Rhinolophus ferrumequinum: one gene and its partner. The protein of the gene in region 2 purifies or fractionates together with the protein of the main gene of each other region. This does not show direct contact. Links are inferred from orthologs where the notes say so. Each region holds a gene or a part of one and is shown on either strand. Other genes may lie near its edges. The genes, in order: SMARCD3 and DPF2.

The links.
Region 1: the proteins of DPF2 (region 2) and SMARCD3 purify together in Homo sapiens (affinity purification with mass spectrometry; 3 studies listed by BioGRID and IntAct, counting the BioPlex papers as one, with this or other methods). This does not show direct contact. The link is inferred for Rhinolophus ferrumequinum from reciprocal best matches to the Homo sapiens genes DPF2 and SMARCD3.

What each region holds. Positions count from the first base shown.
Region 1 is NC_046309.1:3,656,713-3,672,662, reverse strand, and holds the start of SMARCD3 (SWI/SNF-related matrix-associated actin-dependent regulator of chromatin subfamily D member 3), read right to left. Parts: upstream 8,022-15,950; 5' UTR 7,642-8,021; coding exon 7,564-7,641; intron 4,770-7,563; coding exon 4,558-4,769; intron 2,854-4,557; coding exon 2,811-2,853; intron 2,079-2,810; coding exon 1,956-2,078; intron 1,833-1,955; coding exon 1,710-1,832; intron 1,475-1,709; coding exon 1,379-1,474; intron 1,200-1,378; coding exon 1,098-1,199; intron 875-1,097; coding exon 713-874; intron 1-712. UniProt on the Homo sapiens protein: Involved in transcriptional activation and repression of select genes by chromatin remodeling (alteration of DNA-nucleosome topology).
Region 2 is NC_046294.1:6,325,244-6,340,326, forward strand, and holds the start of DPF2 (zinc finger protein ubi-d4), read right to left. Parts: upstream 6,884-15,083; 5' UTR 6,767-6,883; coding exon 6,735-6,766; intron 2,449-6,734; coding exon 2,288-2,448; intron 1,888-2,287; coding exon 1,780-1,887; intron 1,503-1,779; coding exon 1,339-1,502; intron 546-1,338; coding exon 453-545; intron 351-452; coding exon 272-350; intron 1-271. Other genes in the region: CDC42EP2 (cdc42 effector protein 2), read right to left, coding at 14,529-15,083. UniProt on the Homo sapiens protein: Plays an active role in transcriptional regulation by binding modified histones H3 and H4. Is a negative regulator of myeloid differentiation of hematopoietic progenitor cells. Might also have a role in the development and maturation of lymphoid cells.

The DNA of each region.
Region 1 (15,950 bases), on a different chromosome or scaffold from region 2:
AGCTTAGGTATAAATCCTGCTTCCAGCACTTACTATGCAACCTGAGCAACTTAATGACTCAGACCTCAGTTTCTTCATCTCTAAAATGGGGATAGCAGCAGTACTCCTCTCCCAAGGTTGTGGTGAGAAGTCAATGAATCAATACACATAAAGTGCTTGAAACAATGCCTGGCACGTGGTAAGTGCTCAATAAACATCGGCTGTTCTTTCTACTCCTCGGGTTTATCTGCTGTACTTATTTAAAGTGTATTAACAGTAAACTCTGCTTTGGTAGAATGTTTGTCAAATCCCTTTCACAACAATTTGATTTTCCTATCTGCCCAGTGGGTTAGATGGGACAGGTGTTGTCACCCTATTGCAAAGATGGAACAAGGCTCAAAATAGCTAAGGAACTTACTGGAGTCAAGACCCAGGATTAGAACCTGGGGATCCAACTCCCAGTGCCAAGAATATTACATTCCCAGAGCTGTTGGCCTTGTAGGGTCCAGATCTTCCTAACCTGGGGTAGCTAACATGGATGGCTGCCACACAGAGCTGCGTCGTGCTAGGGCCTGGCCGAGGACCCTGGTCTCTGGCTCTGAGACCGTATCTATGTACTGTTTCTGATACCTGGGAATCTAGAAGGTAGGGGTGGTGTTACTTTAGTAGAGGCACTTCCCCTACCAGTAACTCTGCCTGCTCCCCACGTCCCAGGTCCCTCGGTTCAGGCTACCTGCTGGAAATATTTGTCCCCATTGATGTATTCTTTGTCATGCGAGTCCTGCAGCCTGTTCGTCTTCACATACTGCCACAGGGCCTGGACGATGGCGGACCGACTCTGTGTGTGCAACCCTAGCAGCCGGGCCAGGCGGGGATCCAGTTTGAACTGGGGAGGCTGCGAAAAGGTGACCATGAAAATGAGAAAGGGAGTGGAAAGAACTCAGGGCCAGGCAGCGTGGGACCAGGGATGGGGCTCCTTGTAAACATGCTTCTGGAAAAGGGGGGTAGGGAGGAGAATGGGGTCTCCTGGGATACGCTCCTGGGAGGCCTGGTCCCACCCTAAGAGAAAGGGTGTGGGGGGCCGAGGGCCTGGTGTGTAGGGGTGGGCTGGCTCGGACCTGGTAGTCCAGCATGAGGAGCAGCGTGCAGCGCACACTCAGGTCCCCTGGCCTCTTCACCTGGAACCCGTCTGTCTCCTGGGTGGTTGGCGTCCGGTGCCACTGTCCAGGGCAGAAGAGCTGGGTCACCTCACGGGCCCATCTGGGCTGGTGGGGCCTGGGGCTCTAGGGGGGTCCCTGATCCAAATCTGTGCAGCTGGTGGGACTGTGGTCTAGATTCTTCAGGGACCGGGGCCTGTGGAAGGGCGGCGATTCTAGGGCCAGAGGAGTCTGGGTCTTACCTCCACGAGGTGGTTGTCAGGCCCATAGAGGTCTTTGTCCAGCTCAATGACCAAACTCTTGAAGAAGGAAGAGAACTTTCGCTTCTGCTTGCTAGGCTGTGGGAGAGGAACAGGGACCGTGGGGGCAGAACAGGGACCGTGGGGGCAGATGAGCGGGGCGTGGGTGGGGCTGGTCGGGTAGAGCAGCAGGCCTCCACAGAGATGTCTCTCTAGGCCACCCAGCCCTGGCCAGGGCTGACTCCTTGACCCTCTCTGCAAACGTCTAGCTCTGTCCTCAGCTCAGCCCCATACCCACCCCAGGACACCTGGAGAGACCTGGGCCAGGACGTACGTCATCCAGGAGCTTCCCCTCCACCCGCAGCTCCCAGGAAGCGATGCTGCCATCAGAATCCTCAGCATCCGGCTTTGCAGGGTTAAAGGTATTGGAGATATAAAGACGCAGCTTCCGCTTTTGCTGTCGAAATAAAGAGTGTCCCACAGAGTGAACAATGGATGCCCCCGCCGCCCCAGGGCAACCCCGCTTCTCCATTCTGGGCACAGGACACAGAGCCCGCTTCCTGTCCCCAAATCAAGGCACCTTCATTGGCCTCTTCAGAGCCTCCTGGATGTCCACCCGCTTCCGCATGATGGTTTGATCCAGTTTCCTCTCAAACGCCAGGAGGTCCATGTAAGCCTGGGACTCGGGGACCAGCTCCCGGATCTGGAAGAGGAGGAGCGAGGCAGGGAACCAGGGGCTCAACCAATCTTGCAGGTGGAATGTGTGCGTGTCATGTGACCCCAGGGTACACAGACGTGGAGGGGAGCTGGCCAGATGCTGGGATTTTGTGAGAATGGGACCTCTCCCTAGGATTCTGACTCAGCAGTCGCCACCTCGACGTGTAGGAATAAACATTGCTTCTCCCTCTAGAGGGACCCATCCATGTCATCACTAGAGAAGGCTGGAGCCACCATGGAGCCCAGCAAACTCTGAGGCTTCACCTCATCTTGTCCTTTCCTTTGTCACACAGCCTCTGGGCTTCCCTTGGGTGTCTGCGAAGTGGTTAGGACCTCGGGGTCCCTGAGACGGGCTCTGTGGTTGCTTGCCTTTACGTGGCACCTCACCCAGTCATTGCAACTGATGTCTCAACCGAGCTACCCCCCCACCGCACTCAGTATGTCTTCAGACCGCAGTAGTTCAGTGCACAGCTCCCCAGGCCCAGGATGCGCCCCCTTTCTGGCTCCACTCCTTCCCTCCACCCCACCCCCTCCCTCTGACCTAAGGAGCCTCACTTCTTAATTAGCTTTTTAAACAAAAAGTGAAAGTGACTGTTCCACTGAAGCTGTCTTCCTGAGGGGGGAGGGTTGGTGACCAGGGTGGGAGGGGTGGGGGAGAGGAGAGCAGAGCAGCAAGGGGCGGGGGGGTGGGCTGGGGGCTGCTGTGAAAGGCACTCACCCTTTGAGGGAGGATTTTGTCAGCCATCTTCCTCCTCTTGGCACTGTACATTTTTTAAAGAAAAAACCAGGTTACCATGGCGACAGATCTGGGAGTAACGAGGCCACCTGCTAAATTATCCCAACATCTCCCCCCCGCCTGGCTGGGGTTCCCACAGCCGGCTAGTCTGCCCACCCAAGGGGCTATGCCAGTGGTGTGTGGCATTGGCGCTCTGTCCTGTCGCCGAGAGCAGAGGTGACCCCGTTCTTTCTCTGGCCTGGGAGCCCCCTTCTGCCCCACCACATTGTCAGGGCCAGAGATATGTAGATTTAAGAGGGGATGGGGGCGGTGGAGCTGCCAAGTGTTTGAGGAAAGCTGGGGAGGAGGGAGGACAGGCAAGGAAGGAGGGTGGCTTCTGAGGACTTTCCTGTGCTAAGCAGGGGTGCACCCCCTAAGGTGGCCTGAGCCCAGAGGGAGGGAAGCTGACCCTGTCCCACTCTGACCCCTGGGGCAGGAGGTGACAGTATGAAGTTGGTGAGGATTGTACCACTGCTACCCGGGGCTTGGAAGGAGACGCTGACACGCAGGGTACTCTACCTTGGCCCACCTGCCAACAGGGCCCAGAGAGACACCCATAGGGACCCAGAGAGTGTGTGTGGATGTTCTCCTGTGGGACGTGACCATGGGCTGGATCTGGACTCTTCCTGACCTTGTAGCTGCTTCTGACTCCCGAAAGCACCCCAGAAAATCCTTGGTGAACTGAGATTAGAACCCAGCCTAGAGGATGGCTCTATACTGCCCCCATGTGGTGTTCTCAACCACTGCCCCTCCCTGTCCAAAAATCCACGGCTAGGCAAGGAGCTTTCATTAAAGGTCTGACTTGTTTTGAGTAAATTATCTATGTGACACTCTCCATTTATACAAGATAAATCAGTGACTTGTTTACTGTATAACAGCACGATTCACTTTGTAAAAGAATTCATAGTATTCCTATAAACGGGATTTTCCTTGATGTGTAAAAAATACTTAATAATGAGGTACAATCCACATTACACTTTTTATAGGACCCCATCTGGTGTGCAAAGGGAAGCATGTGTGTGTGGCTAAGTAGTGAAACCCAAAGGGGCATGTCTCTTGTCAGGCACCAGCAGGGGTTTTGGGGGTACCATCATTTGGTTCCCATAAGGAAATGGGCTGGCCCCTGGTGGCTTGGGGGCCGACCTGAGCCCGAGCAGATCATGACAGCTCTTTAATCTTTGAGTGCCTAACAATCACCTGAAAGCAGGACTGAGCACAGACCCCACACACACACCCACGTAGGGCAAATTCCCAGGCTCCACCCCCCTGGTCAGTGATTCAGATTTCCAAGACCTGGAGTCCCGGGGCTTTTAAACAGTCAAGCCAGGGGATTCTGGGGAGGGTGCAGCCGACAACCACACTTTGAGAAACACAGTCCCAAAGCTCTGCCCTCAGCCCTTCTGCCAGTCCACCCACCCCAAAGACTGAAGCGTCACCCAGAACCTGGGGACAAGGGGTAGAGGGTCGAGCAGGTGACAAGGAGAAGGACGCGACGGCCGCGGCCTGTCTATGGTGGGCACACAAAGAAAGCACAGCAGTGGCCCCTCAGCCCACCTCCCAGGACGGTATCCCACCCAGGACGACTCATTCCTCGCTGCTCATTCCTCCTCGCCTCTGCCAATCCCGCTCCTCGCCCACCGGGTCCCTGCGGGTCTTGCGGCCCGCCCCCTCCGCGCTGGGTCCCACTCACCTGCGGCTCCGCGCGGGGGCGGTGGGCACCGGCTGGCCCTGGCTCTGGGCCTGGCTCTGGCCGGGCGGGGGCGCTGCTCGCTTGCGGGCGGGCTCCATGCCCGCGGGGGCCAGGCCGGGTCGCACGGCGGGGCTGCCCATGTACGGGGAGCCCGGGGGGCCCATGGGCGCCCCCTGGTGGGGCATCCGGGCTCCAGACGGCATCCCGGGGCGCTGAGGCGAGGGGGTGGGGGGCGGGGGGTGAAGCAGAAACAGGAGCCCGCGGGTCAGACCAGGGCCCCGCTCCAAACGCGGTGAGCCGCGTCTCCCCCACCCCAAAACCCCGGCTGGTGACCCTGATGCTGCCGGCGTGAGCAAGGGGTGGGAAGGGTGGGGGCGCCGGAACCGCGCGGCTTTGGCGGAGGGGCTTTGCGTCTCGCTGCAGGAAGCTAACTGAAGCCAGGCAATTGCACAGGGCATTGCCAGCGTCGGATTTGCGGAAGGTACCGCGAAAATGAATATTAATGGCTCCTTTCAACCTTTTCAAAGGATGTGCACATTCACACGCTCCTCTGCAAGACAGATTAAGCAGGTCCTTCCATCCCACTTGACAGATGAGGCAACCGTGGCTCAAGGAGAAAAGCGACCTAGCCAAGGTCACGCAGCTCCTGGCAAAGGCAGCCCTGAGCGGCTGGTTCCTGAGAAGCCAGGGCTTTCTGCTGTCTGCTACTTCCCCTAGGTTGGGGCTGAGCTCCCAGCTGGGACTCCTGCGCTCCTCTTCCCATTCCCTGCTTCCCAATCCACTTCCTGGGCCGCCCTGCCTTGCATTCTCCCTCCCCATCGCACCCCACGCTTCTCTCTGGGCGCCTACTTTTGAACTCTCAGCCCCCACCCCTACTGGCTTTGGCTGATTCCAAGCCCCCAGAACCAGGGGCTTCTCTGACTCGGCTCACTCCCATAATTTGCTCCCAAGGTAGAGGCTAGAGGTGGGGCTGGAGACAACCTGAGGGGCTGAGGTCAAACCCCACCAAGACTCTCTGATTGGGAGGAGGGGCGGGGGGGGGGCGGGGGGAGGAGCCACCTGGAGGTGAACTGCCCAGAGGGCTTGGGTAGGTCAAAAGCAGCTGCATTTCCTCTTAGATCCATCTCTCCCTTCCTGCTGTCCACCTGGTTCACCAGAGATGGTCCCATCCACAGACCTCCTCTACTTCCCACCTCACCCCAATGAGGTCACCAGTCAGGGTTCAAAGGGGGTCATGGAGAGGAGATGAGGCAGGTGTATTCCCTTGACACTACCCAGGTGCTCAGAGGGGATGCAGATGAGATGCAAATTCATCAAGTGAGGTGTTCCACAGACTTTTTAAACCCCACTTGTCCAAATTCTAGAAGAAGGGATAGGAGAGGACCTGAGTGGCTCTAAAGTGGAGGGTGGGTAAGATGGGGTCTGGGGCAGGGACAGCAGGAAGGAGATTAGGGAGCAAGGGATGCAGACCCTGTGTCCCCATTATCATTTAAACACTACCCCTTTACCCCTAGGATTGCAGCTGCCCCCAGACATGAGGAGCCCTGACCCTGAGCCCGGTGAATGCCTTCTATCTGCCAACTCTCCCTCCCGCCTTACAGTTTGTCTAACCCTAACCCCCAGCCAGCCAGCTGTCTCTGTCCATCTCTCCCACAGTGAAACTTGCCTGTCCATGTGTCTTCCACCCCCCGCCCACCTGACCCTGTCACTCACACCTCTAGGATGGTGGCCCAGAATGGAGCTCAGGTCCCATCATTCCCCACTGGCATAGATGGGGCCCTGGGAGTGGGCAGTGAGGCCCACAGCCACCCAAGAATTGAAGCTCTAAGTTGGCCAAATAAAAAATTCATATGTACAGCATCTCTCCTTCCTAGATGGGCCTTTTTAAAGGGAATCCCACCCAAGCAGCAAAGTTAGGACTGGTCACTCGGCTGACCAACACAGACACCCCTGGGAAATTACTCCAAAGATCCTCCGGGCTGGAGGACAGGCCACCCCAAATAAGCCCATTTTCCTTATCAGCTGCTGTATGATATATCAAGGCCAGCGATACTGGTGGATCTGCTGAAGAGGCCCCAGGGAGCTGTGGCAGCTACCAGGGCCACCCCCAATGAAGGGCCAGGATGCAAGGGATTCTGGCCTCCCTCACCGAGAATGTGCCTTCCTTGGGGTCACAACCAAATTTGGCCAGAGGAAACCTGACTGCTTCCACTATGCCAACCCCAGCACCCATCCCAAGTCCTAGCGTCCCTGCTTCTCCCACTCCCCTCCAACCTGGCCCAGCTGCCTCCCAGACCCTCAGCAAGTCCTGGACAGTGCTGTCCTTCCCCTTCGGTCTCTAGGCCTCGCGTCCCTGACTCCAGCCCTTCCTTCACACCTTTGAGGTATTAAGGACAGCGGTTTTGGTGGCTGAGTCCGCCAAGGGGATCCTCAGACCTCTTACTTTGGGGTCTGTCCCTACAGAGAGCCTCTCTCTGACCCTGATGTCAGAGGCCATCAGCAAAGCCCCCGAGCCTTCCTGACTGGATGTAGAGGTTGTTCAGCCAGAGAGCTTCCTGCTCTCAGCCCTCCAGGGGTCACCTGCTCCTTGCTCCTGAGACACAGAGAGAGACACTCTCCCAACGATGAACAGACAGCCCAGCCCATGCCATGTCCCCCACCCCCACCCCCATGGCAGGGTCAACACCTGGGCCCACAAGGGAAAGAACCGAGGAAAATACGACTGGTACAGATGGGACCCCCCCACTTGGGGGGGACAGTCCCCAAGTCCCACCCACAGCCCCTGACAAGAACCCATGCGAACGCCTCCCTTCCCTGCCAGGGCACCCATCTCCTGCCGGCCGCCTGACGACGTGTTCGGGGGCCAGGGCGCCGGCACAGTCCTGGGGCTGGGCCGCGGGACGTGGTGCCCTGGCTAGCGAGCCCCCTCCCGGCCCCTCCCAATCATCCCTCCATTCAGCCCGAGCCAGCTCGCTCACCCTCCCCCGCTAACTTTCCCCCACTCACCACCCCATGGACCAGAAACTCAAAAAGTTTGCTTTTCGTGGCTTTGCGCGCCCCTCCGGCAACTTCGTCCGCGGCCATCGGGGTGGGCTCAGCGGCTCCTCTCACTCTCTCTCTCTCTTCCTCTTTCTTTCCCTTTTCTGCCTTTTTTTTTCCTCCAACTCTCCCCTCTGAGTCCTGCTGGGCTCTCTCACACTTCTACTCGAGCGGAGTGGGGAGGGGGCCCCGTCAGGGCTGCCCCGACGGCCCACGGCCCACGCCGCCGCCGCCGCCGCGGCTGCCGCATTCCTGCACTGATAAGACAGAAATAGTCCGGCGGCCCGGGGTCTGCCTGTTGACTCGGCGGGGACAAAAAAGCCTGCCTTTCCAACCCTCGCTGTCCAAACAGCGCAGATAAGCCGCAAGGCACGCCGGCAAGCCGGCTCCTGGGCGCTGGGCAGCGGCACTGCAGCCGAGGCCGCCCGAGGGCCGCGGGAGGCGGTGCGGGGAGGGGACGCGAGGGGAGGTGGCAGGGGGCTCGCCGGCCACCCGGCTCTTGCCACAAATAGTTTCTCGGTTAGGGAATCCGCCGGCAGGGCCAGGCAGGGAACAGTCAGTTCCAACTTTGCCCCAAGTGGCTCCTGCTGCATTTCTGAGGCCCTTTCCCCAGAGACCTGGCAGGCCAAGTAGGGAAACATTCGCTGGAAGGAATGGGGGGAGCCGGAGCTGGGACGAGGCCTTCCTCCCACCGGCGGCAGTGGTGGGTGTGCCGGGGAGGCGGTGTCCCCCTGCGTTCACAGATGTGTGCGCCCTTGTCTCGCCGGCCGAGTGTGTCTCCATCCTTGTGTGGGCACGGCGGTGGCTGTGGGTGTGGATGTTTACGTGCGTGCACAGACAAACGCCTTCTCTGTGTGCCTCCCTCCACGGGAGCCTCGGGTGCGCGCGTGTGGGTGCGTGTCTTCCAGCTCCGTGTGAGTCTATTTCTGGGTCTGTGAGTCTTTGTCTCTATGTGAGAAAGTGAGGGCAATAGGGGATGTACTTTGGAAAGAGGGAGGTGGATCAGGCTCATGAGAACAGGAAGAGAAAAATGTGGGGGAAGGCAAGGAGCTGGGGTGGGTGCTTCGGTGGATGGGTGGACAGAATGAGGCAAGCAGGGCCTGATGGCCTTGGAATAGGGTGTGGGGTGGGAGACCTAGAGGAGCTGGGGCTCCTGGGGATAGTGGGGCCAGCCTCAAGACCCCAAAGAGCACTGGGGTAGGGGAGGAGGTGTGAGGGAGCCTCAGAAACGCGATGTGGAGGTAGCTGGCAGCCCAGGGTGAAGGAAAGACAGGAAACAGGAGGAGCAAGTCCTGAGATCCCCAAGCTTGGAGCCCTGGACCTGCCCATGCCCCTAAAGACCACACCCCTCTGTCCTCCTTTGGGGACAACCGTGGGTCAAGCTTATAGGCCTCCTGGGGCTGCACTGTCAGAATCCAGGTGGTGGTGGTGGGGCAATGCCAGGGGTAATTTGTAGGAAAACTTATTTGAGGTTAGGCCTGAAAGACCCAGCATTGCCCTGGGGGTCCTTGCCCTCAACCCTTCAAAATGCCTTCAGAGGTCAGGACAAAGAATTGAGGCAGTGTTCTGCCTGGGGAGGCCATTCTGCCTGCAGCCCGGTTTCCCTTGAGCCCTGGTGTGCTCCCTGGCCATGTAAGGGCCCTCAGTGAATCTTCTGAAAGGCCAGAGGGGGCATGTGGTCCAGGGTGCCCCTCCTCTACCTCCCTCCTGCTCCCTTAGCAGGGGACCTAGAGATCCCCTTTCTACCAAATTTCTACCTGGGCCTTAGCCCAGACCCACACACACAAAGGCTGGGCACTGGAGTGGCACTGAGGATGGTTGGGTGGTTGGCATAAGCCATGACGGTGGCTGTGATTGCTGGCAACCTGGGGAGGTAATCTCTCCAGTCTGTCCACTAATCTCCAAAACAAAACTCCTCACTTATTCCCATTTCTAAGCCTCTGCTCCAGATATTCTTTTGCCTGGAATGCCCTCTACTGCCCATCTACCTGCCCAGATCATATTCATCCTTTAAAACCCAGCTCAGGCCTCCTCCAGAAAGCCTTCCCTGGTCCCACTTGTGTGCACAGATCTTTCTCTTATCTGAATGCCGACTGCCACCTATCCTGAGCCATAAATTGGCACTGGGCTGACTCATGTCTGATATGCTTTGTGCTTCAGGTGTGGTAGGTCTGGTTTCCCAAATCGGCTGTGGCCCCCTGAGTGGCCTTTACATCCCACTCCCCCCTCATGCCTGGACACAGGGAGTCCACATGACCAAAGGTCTGCTAATACTTGCAACCGCCCACAGCTCAGTGGGCCAGTGGATGGAGCTCATAGTCTGCCACTTACCTGAAGGTGGGAGTCACCACGGCACCCCCACCCCCTGTGGGTGCTTCTCATATGGCCCTGTGAAACTACAGGCCTTGGAGGTTCTAGAGGGCTGGGGCAGGGGTACACTCCCCTAGCTTTGTGTGAAGCACAGAGTTCTCAACTCTTGGATAGGCCTTTTGGAAAAAGAAGACAGCAGAGGAGACAGATGGGCACCCCAGCTTGGGTAGCTGGTAAGTTTGAGGGTGGAACCCTCCCAGCGTTTGTGAGGGAGGTGGTGCTGGTGGTAGAGTTTGCAGGAGGGGTGTAGACCAAGGGCTATGGTGAAACCAGGAGCTGGTGAGAATCACTCAAGTCCATAGATAACCCCCTCCTGAGACCCCCCCAGGACCAGGGCCTCCCCTGCAGCCACCCCCCTGGGAGACATCCTTATGCAGCACCTAATGCATACATGCCCCGCCCCCTCCCCCCAATGCAAACACCAGGGGACAGGAGCCACCCGGCTCGGCACTCACGGGCACACTTTAACCAACTCCACATCCCACTCATAAGGCCAGACTCACAAGGCACCCGCCCGCAGTCCCGTTTGCATGCCGACTTTACAGGGGCGACCTCAGGGGTGTGGTCACGGGGGAGCCTTCGGGCTAGAAAGCAGAGGCGGGAGTGTGGGTGCCCGGCCAGGACTCCCACCTCACAAAGGCCAGGATCCCCAACGGCTCAGCTCCCATACGGCGGGCGCTCAGCAGTGCCCCGCCACCGGCTCCTGCCGGGTGGGAAGGAGGCCCCGGGTATGCCCCATTCCAGCGGGCAGGGGGCCTTAGTCCCAGTCCCCTTAGCCTCGGCCGACCCGGCCCAGGGCGCGCTCTGGCCAGGCCATGTGCGTGTCTGGGTGGAGGGCGGCCGCCAGGCGCCCGGAGCCGGAGTCCCCCCTGCCGTCCCCCCATCTCTCCTTCCCTCGCCGAAGCACCACCGGCACCAAATGGCAAAGCGCCGCTCCCCGCGCAGGGAGAGATGCGCCGCGGCCGGCGGGACAGGCTCGGCAGCCCCCCCACCGCGCCGAGCGCCGGGGGCACGTCCCGGCCCGCGACCGCCCTCCCTCGCCCGGCCGCCCGGGCCCCGGCAGCGGTGGGAGCCGGGCAGTAACCGGGCCGGGCATGCGCACTGCGGCCTCCCTCCCGGTGAAGGTCAGCCCAGGGCCTAGCTGCAGGACTCGGAGTGGCAGGGGGAGGCGGAGGAGGGAGGGATGCAGCGAGGAGACTTAACTCCTTCCCTGCGGGAAGATGGTCACCGAGGCTGGGGCCGGAACCCGGAGTCCCACCCTCCCCACCTTCTGTGGAAGTCCTATTGCGGGGACCCTGCTCGGGGGAGGAGCAGGAGGGGAGTAAGAGGAGAGAATGGAAGAAGGAAGCTAGGAGGAGAGAGGGAAGCTGGGAAGGGGAGAGGGAGGAAGGCAGGGGAGGAACAAAGGAAAGCCAGCTGAAGGGAGAGACCTCTGCACTGCCCGGTTTTTCCTCTATTCCCAGCAAGAAAGCTTTCCTTGGCGAAACGGAATTACCTTCGTGGATTGGCGTGTGTGTTTGTGTGTTGAGAGAGAGAGAGAGAGAGAGAAAGAGAGAGAGAGGGAAGCTCTCAGGCTAAGGACCCCTGATTTCAGTGATCTGGCCCATCCCTAAAGCCAGCCCCCATTTTCCCCTCTGATCACTAAACCCCAGGGCAAGCCAGGGGGCCCAGAGGCGGCTCTGCCCCAGCCTAAGTCCTGGGACACCAGGGAACCCTGGCTAGCCAATGGGGCCAGGCCCAGCGCCCAGAGATGACTGGAGGGGAGTCTGTCCCTTAACCCCCACCTCTAGTGAGGGGCTTCCTCCAGCCAGCAGAAAGGACATTGGCAGAACAGACCAGAGGCTTGGTGGCACGGACTTCCTCCACCCCACCCCTCACTACTTCCCAGGCCAGAGCAGCACCGGGTCTCTTCCTCTTTGTGGGAGAATGTTTCTGGGTCCAGGACCCTCTGCTACTATGGAGGGGGCTGTCTATTCCTCTGTGAGACTTCGCCTTTCTGTGTCAGTTTTGCAAACACACAAGAGAAACACGTATGATAGAAAGAAGTAAAAAACAAAGGAAAAATAGGACACCAAAATAGTTGTGTGACCTTGGGCAAGTCGCTGTTCCTCCCTGTCCCTTAGCTTCCTCAGGAGTAAAAGAAGGGCCTTCCTGCCCTGAAATCCAAGGATTCCATAAGACAGAGACAGGAACCAAGGCAGACACAGAGAAGCAGGCCCACGCCCAGTCAGAGGGTGCTGCGAACCCAAGGTGAAGCCTGGTCCCTTGTCACACATACGTCCAATGCTGTCAGCTTCCTGTGAGCAGGGCCCCCTTGCGGCCCCCAGGGGCCTGCATAGTAAGCAGGTGCAGGATAAAGCGTAGTTGGAAACCTTCTTTGCTTGGGTGGGTTTCCTCAGTCTAATGGGGGCTCTATGACACCCCCCCCCCCCCCCCCCCCCCCGCCCTCACACACACCTCACACACAGTAAGTGCAAACAGAGGATGCTCTAACTGCCAGTCCTGGGAGGAGAGAGGAGCTGGGGCTCTGGGGCCCTGAGCATGCGCAGGCCTAGAGGTTACGCACATTTTAGATTCACCGCCAGTTTTCGCTCACTCCCCTCATGGCCGCCATTCATTAGGCAGTGTCTTGTAGCAGTTCACGCCCAACAGCTTGTGGCTGTGTGCCAAAAGGAGCCACACTGGCCTGGTCCCCATTTTGGCAAGGATGGGAACAGACACTGGTCCAGTTCTCACTGTGTTCATGGCCTGGGGAGCTTCAGGGCAGCCGCGCGCGGCTTCTTGAGAACACCAAGCTCTGCTCACGGCCTGCTACATGGTCCTAGGAATGCTACCTCCTCCCCGTGTGCTGTGTCCTCATCTGTGAAATGAGATGCTGCTGCTTTACTGCTGACCTCCGGAAGGCCCGAAGGGCCTTGGCTGGCAGTGCCAGGGGAAGGACAGGGTGCTGTCCCCCCTTGCCAGGCCTCGAGCCTGGGCCCTGGCTCCCTCGTCCTCCCTGGGCTGGGAAGGCCTTTGGCTGTACTTCAGTCTCCTGGTGGCATATGTCCTGCCCTTCACCTGGGAAGCTTCCGAGGCCTCAGCTACTGCTCTGACCAGGTGGTCAGAGCGATTTCTGCCAACCCCTACATTCTGAGGTCTGGGATATCAGCTGAGGGAAGAAAACTGAATAGAGAAAAGAATTCCTCTGCATTTCCTTGAAGACATTTTTTGGGGAAATTAAACCAAAGGGCAGCTGGCAGTGGACCGTATAGATAGTATATCCAGGGAAACAACACAGGGACCTGGCCTCCCAGATGTCTTCAACTCCATCCAGAGTCAAGGATGAGTTCTGCTCAGTCACAGGATCTGAAACGCATTTTCTCCCCTTCACCGACAGGGCCCGGGGAGCCCTGCCCTCTCTTCTCCTAACCTCGCAAGCTGCCTCTCTGCCACCTCTGCCTTGGTGCACCTGCCTGTCACATGCCCTTCTTTCATGACTGTGTCAGGTGCGATGGAAAGCCCAGACTCCCCTCAACTCCTGCACTGTCAGCTCCACAGGCTCCATGTCCCCCTCTGCTTCTCTCACCTCCCACCGACCTAAACCCTCTGTGTGTCTGTCATAAATAAAATTCCCAATCCACGTGGCCACTTCTGTGAACATCGCTTTGGCTTGCTTGCAACAGAAGCTATGCTCCACCCCCAAGGATGATTTTCCCAGAGCCCCCCTACCACTGGCCTTGCCCTGGCAGGTGGCTTTGCATCTTACCCACATACACAGTACCTTCATTTCTTGAGGATTCCAGCTCCTGGCTCACTGTCACTCCCGCCAACACGACTCCTATCTACTTCCTACTGCTTTTCAGGATTCTCACGGGCTTGGTTCCCTGGCGACCTCTCCTGCGGTGATCCTTCCCCCTCCGTCCACCACAACTCCAGTCATCTCTTGGACCTCGTCATTCCAGCAACTGCAGCCCCCACCCTCAAACTCAGTCTAATGCACCCCATTCTTTGACCACTACCTCCTTTCCTTACAGCTCACTCTGTCCAGTGCCTTGACCCCCAAAAGACTGTGACTCCACTGCAATCTCTTACTTGGACCTGTACCCCTCATCACACCTACCCACTCTTTTTAAGCCATGGTAAAAGAGACGTAACACGAAAGTTACCATGTTAACCTCCCCTGCATATATTCTGGACTCTCTTACTTAAGAGTTAAATCCAGCTTCACCAACTCCTCGCCTGCACCCAGCGCCTGAATGTGGCAGGAGAAAGACACTCAGTCGTCCTGACCTGGTCTCCCTGGCGCTTCAGGAGCACAGACTTCACCTGCCTGACCTCCCTCTCTTTCCGCTGCCCTCTTCCACTTGAGTTTTCCACGTCTTCCTCCTCCAACTTCCAACTCCTTCCCCTCCTCACTCCCAACTGGTGCCCTTGCTTCTCGCTTCACTGAGAAAAGGGAAGCTTCCAACGACCTTCCAGAGACTCCCACCCGTCCTCCTGCCTCCCAGCAGCTCTCTCCCGTGTTCCTACAGCTAAGTTATCTGTGCGCTGGTCCACAGCCCATCCTCTTGTGTCCTGCCTCCCGTCACCTCTCCCGCCCTCAAGGACTTTGCTCCAGCAACCCTCTCCCTCACCACCAACGGTCAGCTTTCCCCTGGCTACTGGATTCCTCCTGTGAGCACACGAAGTCCCATCATTGTCCCCCATCGGTTACGGCCCAGTTGCAACTAAACTTCTAAAAAGACTTGTCTCTATTTACTGCCTTCACTTCCCCAGAAACCCCAATTCCTTTAGGGGCACATCCCACCGCTGCCAGCCTGGAAATGCTCCTGTCACGGCCACCAGTGAGTTCAGCCCATACTGCCAAACGCTGAGACATCATCTTGCTTAAACAGCTGCAGCGTTTGACACAGTTGACCACTCTCTCCTTTCGGACCTACTCTCTTCCCTTGGCTGTAGGACGTTTCTCTTTCTGGGCTTTCCTCTTGGGTCCTTTGCTGCCCCTTCTCACCTCCTGGGCTGTCCAGCTCTTCTTTCCGTTCAGTTGGGGCACCTCAGCGCTCGGTCCTTGGTCCTCTTCACTGTTCCACAATCACCTGGTTGGCGACTTCATCTGTCATCCAGTCTCAGAGCTTTAAATACCATCTCTATGTTGACAGCTCCCAAAGTTTTCCTCCAGCGCAATCCTCTCTCCCAGCCCTGAGACTCCTACATCCAACTGTCTACTCAGCATTTCCACCTGAATCTTTCATCGATGGCTCCAACTTCATACGCCCACAACAAAACTCCTGCTCCTCTGCCTCAAATGTGGCCTCTCCTTCTCACCGTCCTCACCCTCCTTCAGATTGCTTGGGCCCACAACCTCGGAATGACCCTGGAATCCTGCCTCTCTCTCACGTCCCACATCCAATCTGAAGGCAAGTCCTGTTGCCTCTTGATCCGGAATCCAACCCCTTCTCACCTCGCACAGCTCCCACCCTGGTGCAATTGGTGAATATGAACTAGCTTGCTTCCGACCTGCCCCCAGCAGTTTATTCTCAACATGGCAACCAGAGCGATCCTTTAAAAAGGGGAGTCAGATCACATTATTTCTCTGTTTGAAACCCTCCCAAAGCCCCCCATCTTATTCCAAGTAAGGGCCACGCTCCCGCGGGTCCCAGGACCCAATCCCCTCGCCACTGCCTGCTCCCTCTGTGGCCTCAGCTCCCGCCACTCCCTCACTCTTCTCTCTTGCCCAGCCTCTGGCCTCCTAGTGGTTCCTCAGAAACTCCAGGCACTCGCCAGCCTGGGGGCTTTGGGCCTTCTGTTCCCTCTTTGAAACACCCGTCTACCAGCTACCTGCGTGGCTAGGGCCCTGAAATCTTGTTCACATGTCTCCTTCTCAAAGGGGCAAACTCTGTCCACGCTATTAAAATTGCAGCCCTCTGTCCACTCCACACACCTTATCTCGCTTATTCTGCTTCATTTCCCCATAGCACTGTACACCTTCCACCATTCTATAT
Region 2 (15,083 bases):
CTATCGAGAGGGTGACTGCCTGCTGTGTGCCCCCTCACTGGCACCCCCACCCCAGGGGACAGCAGAAGCCTCTCCCAGAGCATGCAGGTCCCGCCCGGCAGGTAGCAGAGGCCAGGGCCTCCCAGGGGTCTCAGAGGGAAGCAGTCGGCAGGCAGGACGTGTCCAGGCTTGTTTTACCACTCTGAGCAAGAACACAGCCCTCCTTCCTCTCATCGCCTGAGCGGGAGCTGGGTCCAAGGCAAGGCTACCCACCCACTCGGGAGGCACTCACTGTCACAGGCATAGGGCTTGTCCCGGTCCTCCAAGATGGAAGCGTCCAGCTTCTTACGGGCACTGCCCACACCTTTACCCTGTCAAGAAGAGCAAAAGTGGGGCTCATGAAGGTGCCTGGGCCGTGAGGGCAGTTCTCTTGGGAGTGGTGGTTCGTCCCGCGGGCAGCTTGCGGCCCTCACCTTGGCCTTCCCCTTGCCCCGCCGTTTGGGCGTGTCCTCTTCATAATCCTCATCGTCCAGGTCATCCAGGAAGTCCTCCGGCTCCAGGATCCGCTGAGAGGACAGGGGGATGAGGGGGCAGAAGTGACTCCCCCGCAAGGCCACCCACAGCCTCCTCTGGGACCGGGCCTCTGCTCCATCCTCATTCCCCACTGCTGTGTTTCAACAGCCTAGAATCCTGCTCCTCCCGTGTTTTGGGCTCGCCTTCCTCTGTACGGCCCTTCGTGTGGTTCCCCTCGCCCGGAATGCCTTTCCCACCGCCTCCCAGGGCTGAGTCAGATGCCAGGTCACCAGGCAGCACTCCCGGACAGCCCAAGGAGCCTGCCTCTGATTTCCTGCCCCAGGGGCACGCGCAGCGGTGCTTCCCTTCCGGCAGCTCACTTCCTAGATTTGGAGCTTTGCTGCTTAACTGTGTGGCCTTGGGGGAAGTTTCTGTTAATTGCTCTGCTTCAGCCTCCCTGCTGTACAGACTGGAGAAAATGATGGAAAAGCGAGTACAGCGCCTGGAGTATCTTCAGCTTGTTATTTTTATGTATAGTTTTATCGTCCCTGTTGGCAGGGAACAAGGTCTGCTTCATCTATGTAACCCCAGGTACCAAACACCTTTTGTGACAAAGATGAATGAAGGAGAGTCTGCACTTAGGAGGAAAGAAGAGGGAAAGGCTGGATGGTAACAGTGACGCCAGCCAGCACCCAGCGCTAATGAGGGAATGAGGCAGGAACAGAACTCCAGGGGCCAGCCTCCTGGCCCGCAGTGTCTGCTGCCATTCTGATTACTGGGTGGCCTCTGATGAAGAGGAGGCTGGATTTCATCAAAGCTCCCTTAGCCAGAGTGTTAACCTTGTACCTTCCTTGCTCGACTGTTGGTCACAGGAAACTCGCCCAGGCTGTCATCATCAACTCGGGGATCTGGGGCGCCTCGCTTCTCCAGGGGGTCGGTGCGCAACAGAGCCTCTAAACTACTGCCGTCTTGAGAGATGAGCCCCTCCTTTTTCAGGGTCTGGTCTGTGTCTGCAGGCAAGGTCAGGGTGAGGCGAGGCTCAGAGGGGTCTGCACCGTGCTAGGCCAGCCACCGTCTTCTGGTCTCTGGCTGCCCAGGAACCCAGAAGCCCTTGTTCACCTGGCGCCACAGCTTATCTGTTGACCTCTCTCTTTTATTAGACTGAGTTCTTTGAAGAAAGGATCACATCTGATTCATTTTAGTATCTTCAGGCTCTAGCTCTGAAGATTAGCAGGCCTCTGATCATGCAGCAGGCCATGCACCTGCTCAGGGAGGCGTGTGCTTTACCTGGTTTAATAGACGGGAAAGAAAGTCTTGGGTCCTCAGGAGGGTGAGCTCGCCGCTTTTTCCGCCAGCGCCGGGCAGGGTAGGAGTACAGCTGCCCAGAGGCCAAACCTGTGGAAAGAAGAGAGGGAAGTTAAGCCATAACCCAGCTAGAAAATAGTATCAAACACTTTCTAGATGAGTAGGCCCCACTTGAGTTCTAGCGCAAAAAAGGAATATGGGCAATGCTGGGGGCGGGGGTGTGGGTGGGATAGTTTATGGAAAAGAAAAATTAACTCAGGGGCCTTGGCTAATACACAGCTTTTCAGAAGCCCAATAACAGCCTCAGCAGGGCAGCCCTGCAGAAAACCAAAATGCCGGTATGAATCTGCTTCTTCCTCCCTGGGCTTCTAATCATGGGAAGATCACATCCATCCACAGGTGGAAAGCAGGAGGGAAAACCCTCTCAGCTGCCTCACCCCTAATACGAGGAGGCTTCTTCCTCCTCGCGCTCCTGAGTCAGGACCCTCACCTGGACCCCGGTGTCGCTTTTCCATCCAGATATAACAGTTGCTCTGAGCTACTCCGGTCTGTGAGTCCAAGAAGGGCAGGCGCACACTGCGCTCAGCACAGAGGCGGGCATTGTAATTGTGGCACTGCTCCATGGCATCTTTGTAGTACTGCTCCCCAAGGCTGCAGGAAAGACAAAAACCAGGTGTGCGTGTATGTGCTGGGGCTGGGGGCAGGGCACAGGGCGCTGAACTATTCCTCTCCTTTGCCATCTGCTTCTCTACTAGGCTCAAGGGATCGGGAGACTGCTGCGTTGGCTCTAGTTGCCTCCATTTCTGCCTCATGGGACGCCAAGCCCCTTCACTAAGCCATTATGAGAAAAGACACTTTACAAATAAATTACCGTCAGGAACGCATGACTTCATCATTTGTCTAATCAGACGTTAAGTCTAACCCACAAAGAAGAAACGAATGTTCATTCTGTGTCTCTCCTGAGTTCAAACTCTGGCTACTCGAGATGCTATTTCGCTTAACCCTTGTGACTCTGAGAAGCAGTGGTTAGCTCCTATTTACAACAGAAGAAGCATTCAACAAGGTCTGGGGGACTTTACTAAAATAGTCAGCAAACTGTATATCCATACAATACAGTATATCCATACAATGAAATTCTATTTAGCCATAAAAAAAGGAGGAAGCTCTTCATGTACTGATATTAAACAATATCCAAGATATCTAGGGAAAAAAAAAGCAGTACAGTGCTGAGAATACTACCATTTATGGAACAAAGAGGTGGAAAAGAAACTATATGCCTCCAGGGAGAAAAAACAGGTGACGTGGGTACTTTCTCCTACATGCTTTTATGTCTTTTGAATTTTGAACTAGGTACTTAGCCAATTAATTAATTCTATATACTAATTTTATAGTCAATGGAAAACATCTGAAAATACCTGGAATTCCTTGAAGACTACTCTTTACTAAGTACCATTACACCAATACTAAACGTGTTTTCTCAAAGGCCCATCCCAGGCTCTTCCTTTTCACACCATCAAATTACAGTGGTACCTCGGTTTTCGAGCGTAATCCGTTCCGGAAGACCGTTCAAGTTCTGAAACATTCGAAAACCGAGGTGCGGTTTCCCCATAGAAAGTAATGCAAAATGGATTAATCCGTTGCAGACCTTTAAAATCAACCCCTAAAACTGCAAATTTAGCAGTTTTTTTTATCTAATGATAGTAAAAATGAATTTAGAAAAATTTAGCAGTTTTTCTTTACTATCTAATGATACCATAGATCCATAAAATTTACGGCGTTCGTAAACCGAAATGTTCATCAACGGAGACGTTCGAAAACCGAGGTACCACTGTATATAGGAAAGAATTTTGGACTCAAAAGACTCAATTTGAAATCTCAATCAAGGGTAAATCTTTAAGTGCTCTAAGAAGCTGGAAAACTGCACAGTGCCAGGAGTTATCTGGTTCTAAGTGTGTATATAGAACCAATCTTGTTCTCAGGGCTTAACAAACACTTTAGCACTGGAGCTTAAACTATAACAATTCGTATTTATATATTTGATAATCTTAAACAAAGGGCAGAGGCAATTTCTTTCCCACAGTATTCCCAGTACCCATGAAGGTAAGGTGTCTGGGGCATCTTGATTTGACTTAGGAGTAAGAAGACCTGGCTTGGATGAAAGTCACCAAATAAACACGCACAGGTATAGACTGGGGAGGTTGGATTAGATAAGTTCTAACATATTCTATGAGAGGGAGACCCCTTGCATGAGAAGCTGGACAGAGTAAGTCTGTGTGGCTTATGTACGTAACTTGAGCTACACCAACAAACTCTTCTCTGGAATCAGAGGGGAGCTTTCATTGAGCAGCCACAATAGATCACTTAGGTACAGCTTAGCAAGTTCCTAGCAAATGAAAAAACACACCACACACAAGGTGGTGACACCACAAGATAGCCTGGTTTGATTCAATGAGCTGTAATCCCTGTGATTTGAGGCAGCATGAATCCTGTGTTGGCGAGTGGAGAGCACAGAACAGGCTCACCTTGGCTTGCCTTTAGGAGGCAGCCATGTCCTCCTAACACAGAAAAATCGGATAAACAAGGTTGAGAGCAGCAGCTACTTTGTTTCTGCTGATGGGAATTGATACTGACATTGGAAGTCAAATGGAAGGAAGGGCCAGATGGGCTGAGAGCTGCAAGGAACAGCTTGGGGGGGAATGGAGAGTAAAGTTCTTGTGAGTTAAGGGGAATTTCAGAAGGTGAGGCAAACTGTCCCATGAGTAAGAGAGCTGGGACTGAAACACAAATTGGGGGGAGAGAGGATCTGATGGAGAGAGAGCAAGAGAGAATGAGAGAGCTCTTGAAGAAATGAAGGATCCTATCCCAAAAAATTCAAGCTGACATTATTCTCTAGATCTTGTTATCTAATCAGAAGGTATCAAAATTAGTCAGCAGCCACAGCTATTTAGTACTCTTATTTTACCTTAGTAAGACACCTTAAAGACTGTTTCAATTCTGATACCACATTTGGGAGGGACAGAGAATTTACAAATAGGGCAATTCTTCTCCCAAAACAGATGGAAGTCAGAAAAGATGAGCTGGTAGTCCTGACCTCGATGAATACAACCTCAGCTGTCAGAAGACGAGACACACCACGATCAAGAGAGCAACAGAAAAACATCTCACAGGGTGAGAGTGGTACAGGAATGAAAGCCTCTTCTTAAAGGGAAAGTTCTGTAGGAAAATGTATTCATTGTGATCCACAGCCCTCTGCAACTACAATTGAGGAGAAAGTTGGTTTCTCATTACTGGTACTCAGGAACCAGTGGCTGGTGACCCTCACAATCTCTATAGCTCTTTAAAGAGAAATAAGAAATCTTGCTCTATTTAATCGGGCAACTCCCCACTTCTAACACTACACAAAAGGGCTGGCGATCCTATTTCCCGGAAGAAAGTCTTCCTTCATAAAAAAATCTCATTACATAACACTCTCAAAACCTAGGCCAGTCGGACATTCTTCCAGTGTAGTAAGATTTGCGAGGTAGAAGCTTTGATTCTTTTTCAGGAAGCATGAAACCTGTGTAAAACCTCCCCTTACAATGGGGTGGGGGGAGTCAACAAAGAGAAAGGCAGGGAAACAAAGAAAGAACATCTGAGTCAGGAAGAAGAACTATATAAATGGTAGATTATTTCTAAATTGAGGGAAATGTCAGCCTGAAGAGAGAGCTGAGGAAACTGGAGTGGGCAGATCACAGAGAAAGATAACAGTGATGGGAGGAGGGATGGCTGAAAAAAGGCAGCAGGATAGAGCTGAAAGCAAATTTAAAAAAAAAAAAAAGAAAAAAACCACAAGAGGAGAAGGCACTTAGCTTAATGGAAGTGGGAAAGCTTTCTCAAAGAAAAGGCTCCAGGCAGGGGAGGCGGGGAGAAGCAATGTACCTTATAAAAGGCTCTTGGGAAGAGTGGGACTCAGCCCACCACAAAGACAAATGAGAAGCTTTAGAATAGTTCCCAAACCTTTACCTTGTCATCCAGTCAAAATCCGAAAGCCCTGGCTGGACAACTAGACACCTCTCAACGTACCTACCCCTGCACCAAGCCCAATTAACAGGAGCTTGTTCTATTGGCCCAACGGGGCACGAACCCATTTCAAAACCCATTCAGATTCTTCGTCAGGGAGGAGGCTGTATTAAATCAACTCCCAAAGCATCTCGAACTCATAGCTAACAGGCCATTTCCCCAACAACCATTAACTTTAACTTTGCTCGAAATCTGCCCAGCACAAGAGTATTGCCGCCCTCGATGCGCCTCCAGCTGCAAAGGCATCCTGCCGTCCAGCTCCCGTGTTTTGATGTCTGGGACTGGCCAGCTCAAAGGCCTTCTCCCCTGAAGTTCTTTCCCTTCTGTATCTGCTCAACAAATTCTTCCCGAGAATATTTTTGGTCTTGAATACCTGCTACCTAAGACACCCCCCACCCCACACACACACACGCCGCGGGGCTGCCCCGCGGTGCTTAACCGCGTGGAGGTGCCGCGCCTGTTGCTCCAGGGCCGCTTAGTCGACCGGGAGGGGTCGGTGGCCGGCCTTCGCGGGGACACTGGTCGTTCCCGGGTCCGCCCTCCGCCGGGTTCCTCCGGACTGCGGCGTCTCGGAAGGGACCCCGGAACTGTGTCTCTCGTACGCAACAAGGGAGCCATAATCTGGAAACCGTAAGCCTCACACAGCCCAGGGAAGCTGCCCGTCAGGAGCTCCCGTGTGCCCCCCTCAGGGCCTCCACAAGTTTCCAAAGAAGCGCAACGTCTTCTCCGGAGTCTCCTGTTGCCCTCCACAGCAGGAGTCGCAACATGGCCTTCCCCGGCACGTCCCTCTCTTCGCCTCGTCCATTCCCGCCCAGCCCCCTCCTCCCAGGCCCCTTACAAGACCTCCCGGCCTAGGAGAGAAAGAAATGACCACTCACAGCTTCACTACATTTTCCACCACGGCCGCCATCTTCCCTGCTCCTTTCCCTCAGGCCGGGAGGCCCGGAGCCTGCAGCGCGCAGGCGCCGGGACCTAACGGGGGGGACCTAGTTTCCTTGTCCCTCTGCGCAGGCGCCGCCCGAGCGCGCGCGCGTTCCAGAGCGAGCGGCGGAGAACCCGCTTGGCGCCCGCTCCCGCGGCCGGAGAGCCGAGGAGCCCGACGCGCAGGCGCGATGGGTACGGGCGCGCGCCCCAGCCTCCTGCTTGAGCCCTGCGTCTTCCATTTGGAGGAGCGGGAGCGGGATTTACCCTGGTCCAGAAAGGAGAAGGCGAGAGGTTGGTGAAACTGGCAGGCCCAGAGGTGGGCTAGATGGAGTGCATGCGTCCTGCAACCTCGCTCATCTTTAATCTCGTGCTTAACTCTTTGCTCTCAGTCACAGGTGGGTAGCGGAAGGTAAGAGTGGTGCATAGTTCACTTGGGCCGCCAGACATACTATTCCCATTTTAGGGAGAGGAAAATTAATGCCTAGAACTGGGCAGTTCTTTGGCCTAAATATTGGGGTCTGATAAAGTTATCTTCCTGCCACCAAACTCACCCACCAACTGCACTGGTACCCATCTCTTCTCCCTTGCTTCTTACTCCTATCTAAGCTCCTTCCCTCCACTTAGGTTTTGAAGAACTTCCTTCCTGCAACTGTTCTTCTCTCATCTGTACAATTAATTTCTCCCTCACTGTTGAGCCATGCAAATTCGTGTACAAACATGGCTTAATATTCTCTTTAAAAGAAAGCGAAGCTCTTCCTTAAGTCCATGTCTTCATTTATCACCCTATTTCTTTTTACCTTTTCATAGCAAGTGTTCTGTTTATATTCCCTATCTCTGTTGACTTATTTCCAAGTCTTTCTGCCCAATTTAATGGGGATGTTTCCCCCCACCAGTTCACTTGAAATAGCCCCTAACAAAAATCAACAGACTTAGAGATCTCCTCTGTCCCCAACAGCCTGTCAACCCCATGACACAAGTGACCACCAGTCTCTCCCTTACCACGTTTCTGAGGCATGCACCTGGCTGTCCTCCTGTCACACTGTCAGTTCCTTCAGCCTTTTCTGGCTCTCCGACGTCTGTTCCACCTGTAACTGTCAGAGTCTCCAGGGCTTGGTCTTTTGTCCCTGTCATATACCTTATTTCATCATTTCCAAGATGCACATATTCCATGTCCTCTCTCCCCCCCATTTTAATAATTCAGAATCAGGGCACATCTTACCATCACTGTGCCTTAAAATCGTGTTTGGCAGATGACAGTTGAGAGGTATGTGTCATTGTCTGCCTTCCATCAAACTTGCACAATAGGTGTCAGCAGCCTGGAAGAAAAACCAGAGATAATACTGGTGCACTCTTTTACCCCTGGGAACTGAATGATTGGGAGGACAAAAGGTGTCAGAGGTGACTCCAATGCGAGAGTCAGAAAGATGTGTTATGGTCTAAATGTCCTCCCGCCAAAAAAAAAAAATTCACGTTGAAGCCCTAACCCCCAATGTGATGGTTTTTGAAGGTGGGGCCTTTGGGAGGTAATTAGGGTGAGGTGAGGTCATGAGGGTGGGGCCCTCATGATGGGATTAGTGTCCTTGTAAGAAGATGGATCTCTCTTCACGAGGAAAGCCTTGTGAGGACACAGCCAGAAGGCAGATGTCTACAAGGCAGGAAGTGGGCTCTCACCAGGAACTAAATCTGTCGCCACGTTGATCTTGAGCCTCCAGAACTGGGAGGAATAAATGTCTGTTGTTGAAGCCACCTAGTCTATGGTATGTTGTTACAGCAGCCTGAGCCAACAAAAGCAGTGTGCTAGCTCTAAAGCTGAACACTCACATACTCTGATCCAGAATTTCCATGTGTGGATCTATATACCAAAAAGCACGTACAAGAATGTTTACATTAATTGTAATAGCCCCAAACTGGAAACATCCCAAATGCCCACGACAGTTAGAATGGATTAAACAACAATAAAGAGAATAAACTATTGCTACAGAACATGAATGAATCTCAAAAACTGAATATTGAGTTGAAGAAGTCAGTTTTAAAAGAGGACATCTTGTATGATTCCATTTATATAAAGTCACATACACAGACACACTAATCTATGGGGATAGAAGTCAGCAGAGCGGTTACCTTTAGAGGACAGTGGCAAGGAGAGGGCAGGAGGTGGCTGCCGAGGTGCTAGTAATATTTTTTTTATTCACCTGGGTAGTAGTTACACAGGTTTGTCACTTTGTAAAAATGAATTGAACTACACAAGATTTGTGCACTTCTCTGTATGTATAGTCAGTAAAAATTTTAAAATAAAAAATTAGTAATACTAAGGAGGCTAGTTCTGTACAATCGGAAAGGCAGTTTATGAGCCCAGCACCAATGGCTTTCAGGTCTTGTAGGATTCTTTTTTAAGAAATCACTGAACAGTAGATACCCTACATGTTCTGAGCAGTGACCAGTGACGAGTATATAGTGTTTCTCTTACAGACAGGAACCAAGGAGTGGAAGTGGGGGTGCAGCCGCTTGCCATCTCAACTAATGACCCTTTTGCAAAATGTTTCCTGTTCCTGCGACTCGGCTTTTGCTGATCTAGAGCCGTGAGGACCGAAGAGAAATGCTTCCTCCAGAGGCACAATAAGGATTTCTCTAAATTAGGAGCTGAGCCTGCCGGTGGGTCGTTTTGTATTCCACATCCACTGGGCAAGAAGGTGAAAAGCGGGTAGCACTGTTGGCTGGGGTGATTGATTCTTATTATCAAGGGGTAATAGGATTGCTATTCCCCAGTGGGGGCAGGGAGAACTAGAAATGAAACCTAGGGGATCTTCTTAATGTTACATTCAGGTAGTTAATGGGAGACAGGCTCCTGGTTAGGTATTTAATTCCCACTAAGACAAACTAAATATCAGAGAAAGGGAAAAAAAAAATCTTAAAACCATTCAAAAGCTAATAATATAATGAAAAATTACTGGGCCAACATTTAGGAGGCTGAAATCCAAAGAGGTAAGCCCAGAATTCAAAGCAATTTTTGTCCTGAAGACATTTACTGATCTGGAAGCTATAACTGAAACTGAGCTGTCTTTGGTGGGAGGATCAAAAATCAAAACCCAGAGCCTGCCGGTGGTCAGATATCCCACCACCACGAACACACACACACACACACACACTCACACACACAAGCACGCACATTAAGATGGGACTCCTATTTCTACGGACTAATATCCCAGAATCATATTATCTGGGTGGTTCAGGAAAACTCAAGCCTTGAACTTGGATTAAACTTGGGTTGAACTTGGACCCATCCTTATAATGTTCCTTGTCACTTGGCAAAAGCAAGCATATTTGGTACCAAGCAATATTCTTTCTGAAGGAATGTACTGCCATCCAAGGCCTCAAATTATTTCTAAAACAATTTTTTCAGGTATGATATCCAGTCCAGTCAAAGGTAATCAGGCACACAAAGAAATCTTGCACGAGAACTGATACACACCACAGAAAACACAAAATGATCCACAAAGATTTAAGATACTGGAATTATCTGATAATGACCATAAAATAATACTGCTTACTGTGTTTAAAGAAGGTGAAGACAAGCATAAAAATATCTGCAGGGTACAAGCACCTATTAAGAATTTCTACAACAGAATTTTTAAAGAATCACGTAGAACTTCTTGAACTGAAAAATACAATAACCCAAAGAAAACAACAAGTTGGTTAAAAAGCAGATTACACAGAACTGGAGAACCAGTGAATAGGTAGGAAGAAGTTATCCTTAATACATCACGGAAAGACAAAAGAACAGAAAATACAGGGTTAGCGTAGAAGCATAGAGGATATATAGAGAGCTCTAAGGTACATTTAATTGGAGTCTCAGAGGGTAAGGAGAGAGAAAGGGGCAGAGGCAATATTTAAAGAGCAAATGATAATTTTCCAAAAATAATGAAATACATGAAGCCACAGGTTTAAGAAGTCCAGTAAAGCCCAAGCTAGCTAAAGACTTAATGGAAATACACGCTAGAGTATTTGGAATGAAGTGTCACAATGTCAGCAACTTAACTTTCAAAAGGTTAGGAAAAAACTTGTATGCAGAGATAAAGCAAATGAGGCAAAATGCTAATAAATTGGCAAATCTAGGTGAAGGTAGATGGATCTACATTATACTAGTCTTTCAATATTTCTGTAGTTTTGAAGTTTTTCAAAATAAAAAGTTTGGGGAAAAAGTCAGTTCTATACGGGGAGATTCACTAAGGTGTCAGATTCTTTAAAAATGAGGGTCTGCAACATGTCACCCGGTAAAAAACCCTGAACAGCCAAGATAGAGGCTGAGGTCAAAGGGAACAGAAGCTGGGTAGTGAAAGAGGGAATTGATTGCTACCAGTTCCAGCTTTGTGGGAGAAAAAGTCTGTAGCTTTCTTCGTATATCAAGTATATATTTGATACAGTATTTTAATTCTCCCACTATTCTTTCCCTCCACTCGTCTATAGGGTGTATTGGTGGTAATGAACTTTACAGCGTAGTTTATGGTTTACAAAATATTGAGATGGGCTTGTAAAGGAATGGCAGGAGGAATGGACGTCATCTAGAAATCTTGGACTTGGAAGTAGATGTAGTAATTGGCAAGATTTTGAGTTGTCGCTCTTTGGAAAAAGTGACTGTATTTTTGACAGGAATAGATGCATTCTACTAGGGAGGATATATACTATTTTTAAAGAGTAAATACAGAATAAGGACATCATGAGTGTTGGGCATGTAAAACAGTAGACTGTAGGGACGTTTGTCACTTTATTCAACTTTTCCTATTTGGGAGCATTCCTTTTTGTGGGTGGTGTTTGTAGGACATGGTGCCTGACCACCACTGGACGAGCTGACGAGGGAAAGTTGCTCTCCACCCCAGGTGTAAGCAGGTATCCTGAGAAGTTAATCTGATGTTTCAGGTCTCTTGCTTGTTAGTTCCTTTTCTCCACCCAACATGGCAGCCACTAGTGCTTTCCCAGGGCCTTTGGACTGGAGCTTGATGCGGGGTGAGTGGGGAACAGTTCCAAGGGACGCAAGGCAAGAATGGCCCCCTTTTGTGGCTACTCTGGCTTCAGCTCAGGTCCGGGGTCAGGTGCTGCCTTCCAGCCAGGTGAAGCTCTAAGGAAAGGGTCCTTTTTTCTTGTCTTCCCCTCCCAGGCATGTGGGGGACAAGCCACCCAGATGCTGAGGAGGAGCCTGTAGCAGGCAAGAAAACGCTGGCCCTTCAGCTGCTCACCTTTTGTCTTCACCCTTTACCAGAGTCTGAAGCTGAAGCCCTGTGGGGGAGAGGGTTGCAATCAAGTATAGGTTTTGGGGTCTCACAGACCTGGGTTTAAATCCCACTACAGATAGGGAAGCCCCTAATCTCTAAATGATGGCAAAATTTTCAGATTAAAAACAAAGTTTGGTGGGGATGTAAGATGGTGCAGCTGCTATAGAAAACAATACGGTGGTTCCTTAAGAAATTAAACATAGAACAATACGATCCAGCCCACAAGCATTGAAAGCAAAGACTCAAACAGATATTGAACACCCATGTTCACATCAGTCTTCTTCACAACAGCAAAAAGGTAGAAGAAACTCAGATGTCCATCGATGGATGAATGGATAAACAAAATGGGATGTATATGTGCAATGGACTATTATTCAGCCTTTAAAAAGAAGGAAATTTCAGTACAGGATACAGCATGGATGAACCTTGAAGAGATGATGCTAAATGAAATAAGCCAGTCACAAAAAGACGAGTACTGTCTGATTCCACTCATATTAAGTCCCTAGAGAAGTCAAATTCAGAGACAGTTGCAGGGAGAATGAGGAGTTATTGTTGAATAGATAGGGAGTTTCACTTTGGGGAGATGAAAACCGTTCTGGAGATGGATGGTGATGATGGTTGCTGAATAAAGTGAATGTAATTAATGCCACTGAACCATACACATAAAAATGGTTAAAATGATTGATTTCATGTTATATATATTTTACCACAATAAAAAAAATGCATCACCTGCAAAAAAAAAAAAAAGCTGTGTGGCCCAGCAAAATGTCTCCTGGTCTAATTCTGTCTCTGCCTCCAGTATGAAATTTCTACCTGGAGGCAGGAAAGGTTGGGGGTGAGGTGGGGTCTGGGACTCAGAGGGTCAAAAGGATGGAATAGAACCAACTGAGAATGAAAGGGGACCACTGAGGCCAGCACCGAGCCCCACCTTACGCTTTCCCCTCCTCTCTGTCCCCACTGTTCCCATCTGGTCCGGTCCTCCTCAGCCTGCAAGGGCTTCCTCCTCTTTGATCTCTGGTCCATCTTCCACTTGGCCTCCGTGGTGACCCTTGTAAAACCTGGATCTGGGGTGACCAGTTAGCTCAGTTGGTTAGAGCGTGGTGCTCGTAACACCAAGGTTGCCGGTTCCATCCCTTAATGAGCCATTGTGAGCTGTGCCGTTTAAAAAATAAAAATAAAACCTGGATCTGACCACGTCTCTCTAACTTAAAAATCTTTCAGCAGCTCCCATTGCCTCAGCTGCAGCCAGCAAGCACCCTGTTCTGACTGCAAAATGCTTTCCCAGCTTCCCAGTCCTGCCTTTCCTGAGCCCCCAGTTCCTTTACATGACACCCCATAACCAAACATTATCCCTGGTTTGCTCAACGACCCTACAAGGCAGGTATCGTTGACTCCATTGTAGAGATGGGGAAACTGAGTCTCACACAGGCTAGGTAGGACTTAGAGATCTTTTCACTACATAGCGGCTCCTCTCTGTCACTCACCCTGGTGCCTCAGTACCTTTACTTATGCCTGAGCATATGTCTGTTAGCCCACGTTTGGCTCAGAATCACATCTGATCCCTGAATGTCCCCTGACACCACCCCACCCCTGCCCCAGGTATTCCCAATCACGTTTTCTTCATAGATCAACACCGTTGGAAATCATCTTCCTTGCTTACAAATTTAATATCCTTCCCTCTTAGAATGCAAACTCCAGGAGAGCCGGGATGGCGTCCGTCTGGCATCCCCAGCCCCTAGAGCAGGCCAAGTGCACTGTAGATGCTCAATAAACAGCGCTGATGAGCTGAGTCTGTTGATCAGCACTGTTGGATCCCTCCCAGCCCCCCGCCCTCAGAATCAGGTACAATCTTCCAAAGGGCAGGGCCTGCTCGGCAGAAAGACAAGGGCTGGGGTCTCCCCAAGGGTCAGCCCAGGTGGCAGAGATTGGCCTGTCTTCAGGGCTAAGAGTGTGGGGAGCACAACTATGAGCAGCAAGTTTTATTGCAACCAGAACCCTTGGTCATGTGGGAGGGGATGGGGTAGAGGGACACTGATCACCGATGCCACGCTCCCAGTCCAGGACATGACACCAAAAATCTGGCTGGCTGTGCCCTGCCTCTTCCTCCACCCCTTGATCAGGGCATCTGAGGGACCTGAGGCGGAAGGGAGCTGAAAGGGGAGTCCATTTCAGCATAGCCTTCGTCTGAGGGATCTGAGGGAAGGAGGAGCAGTTGGCAGTGGGGGTCCAGGTAGCCCACGAGGCTCAGGAACCCGTGGGCTGAGTGCTGCATGTGTCCTCGTGGGTTTTAAGGGAAAGCAATGAGGCACATTCTGCCCATGGGGAGAAGGTGGGAGGAAAACAAAGGCTCCAAGTGAGAAATTGCTGGCCAGTGACCACACAGGCGGGCCCTTGGGATCCCGACTTCTAGGCCAGGATCGTGTCCACCCTCTGCCTCTGGTATTCACTAGCCTGGATGCCCAGCCTGGCCCACCTGGGGGCCTATGTGGGCATCTGGTCCTGGTCCATGATCTGGAGGACGTCGTCCAGGATGGAAGGCCCCAGGTCCACGTGCAGGGAGAGCAGGGAGCTGCCGTGAGACAGGAAGGGCTCCTCGGTTTCTGATTCAGGAGTCAGCCCATTGCGGGCCGAGCCAGCCTCTGGAATTCTCCAGATGTCCACACTTCCTGCCTCTGGTGGGGAGGCCTGAGGGGTCTCCAGGTGCAGGCGAGGGGGTTTGGGTGGGGCCTGGGTTGTGGGCAGGGTGAGGGCCTGGGGCCCACCGATGACCGGGAGGGAGATGGCGTTCTTGAGCAGAGGGGATGGCCCTTCTGGGTGCTCCCGCCCACACAGCGTGGCAGTGCGGGTAAACTGGAAGGGGAGGTCAAAGGTGCCGTCCTCCTCGGGTCCCTCAACTGCCGTCCCTGGCAGGAGGTGAAACTTGCCCTGCAGGAAGGAGATGTCACCAAACATGTCACTGCCACCTCCGCTGCCGATATGAATGGTATGGCGGAAGTCCCCCAGCGGTGGGCTGATCATGTCTGAGGACAGCAGGTC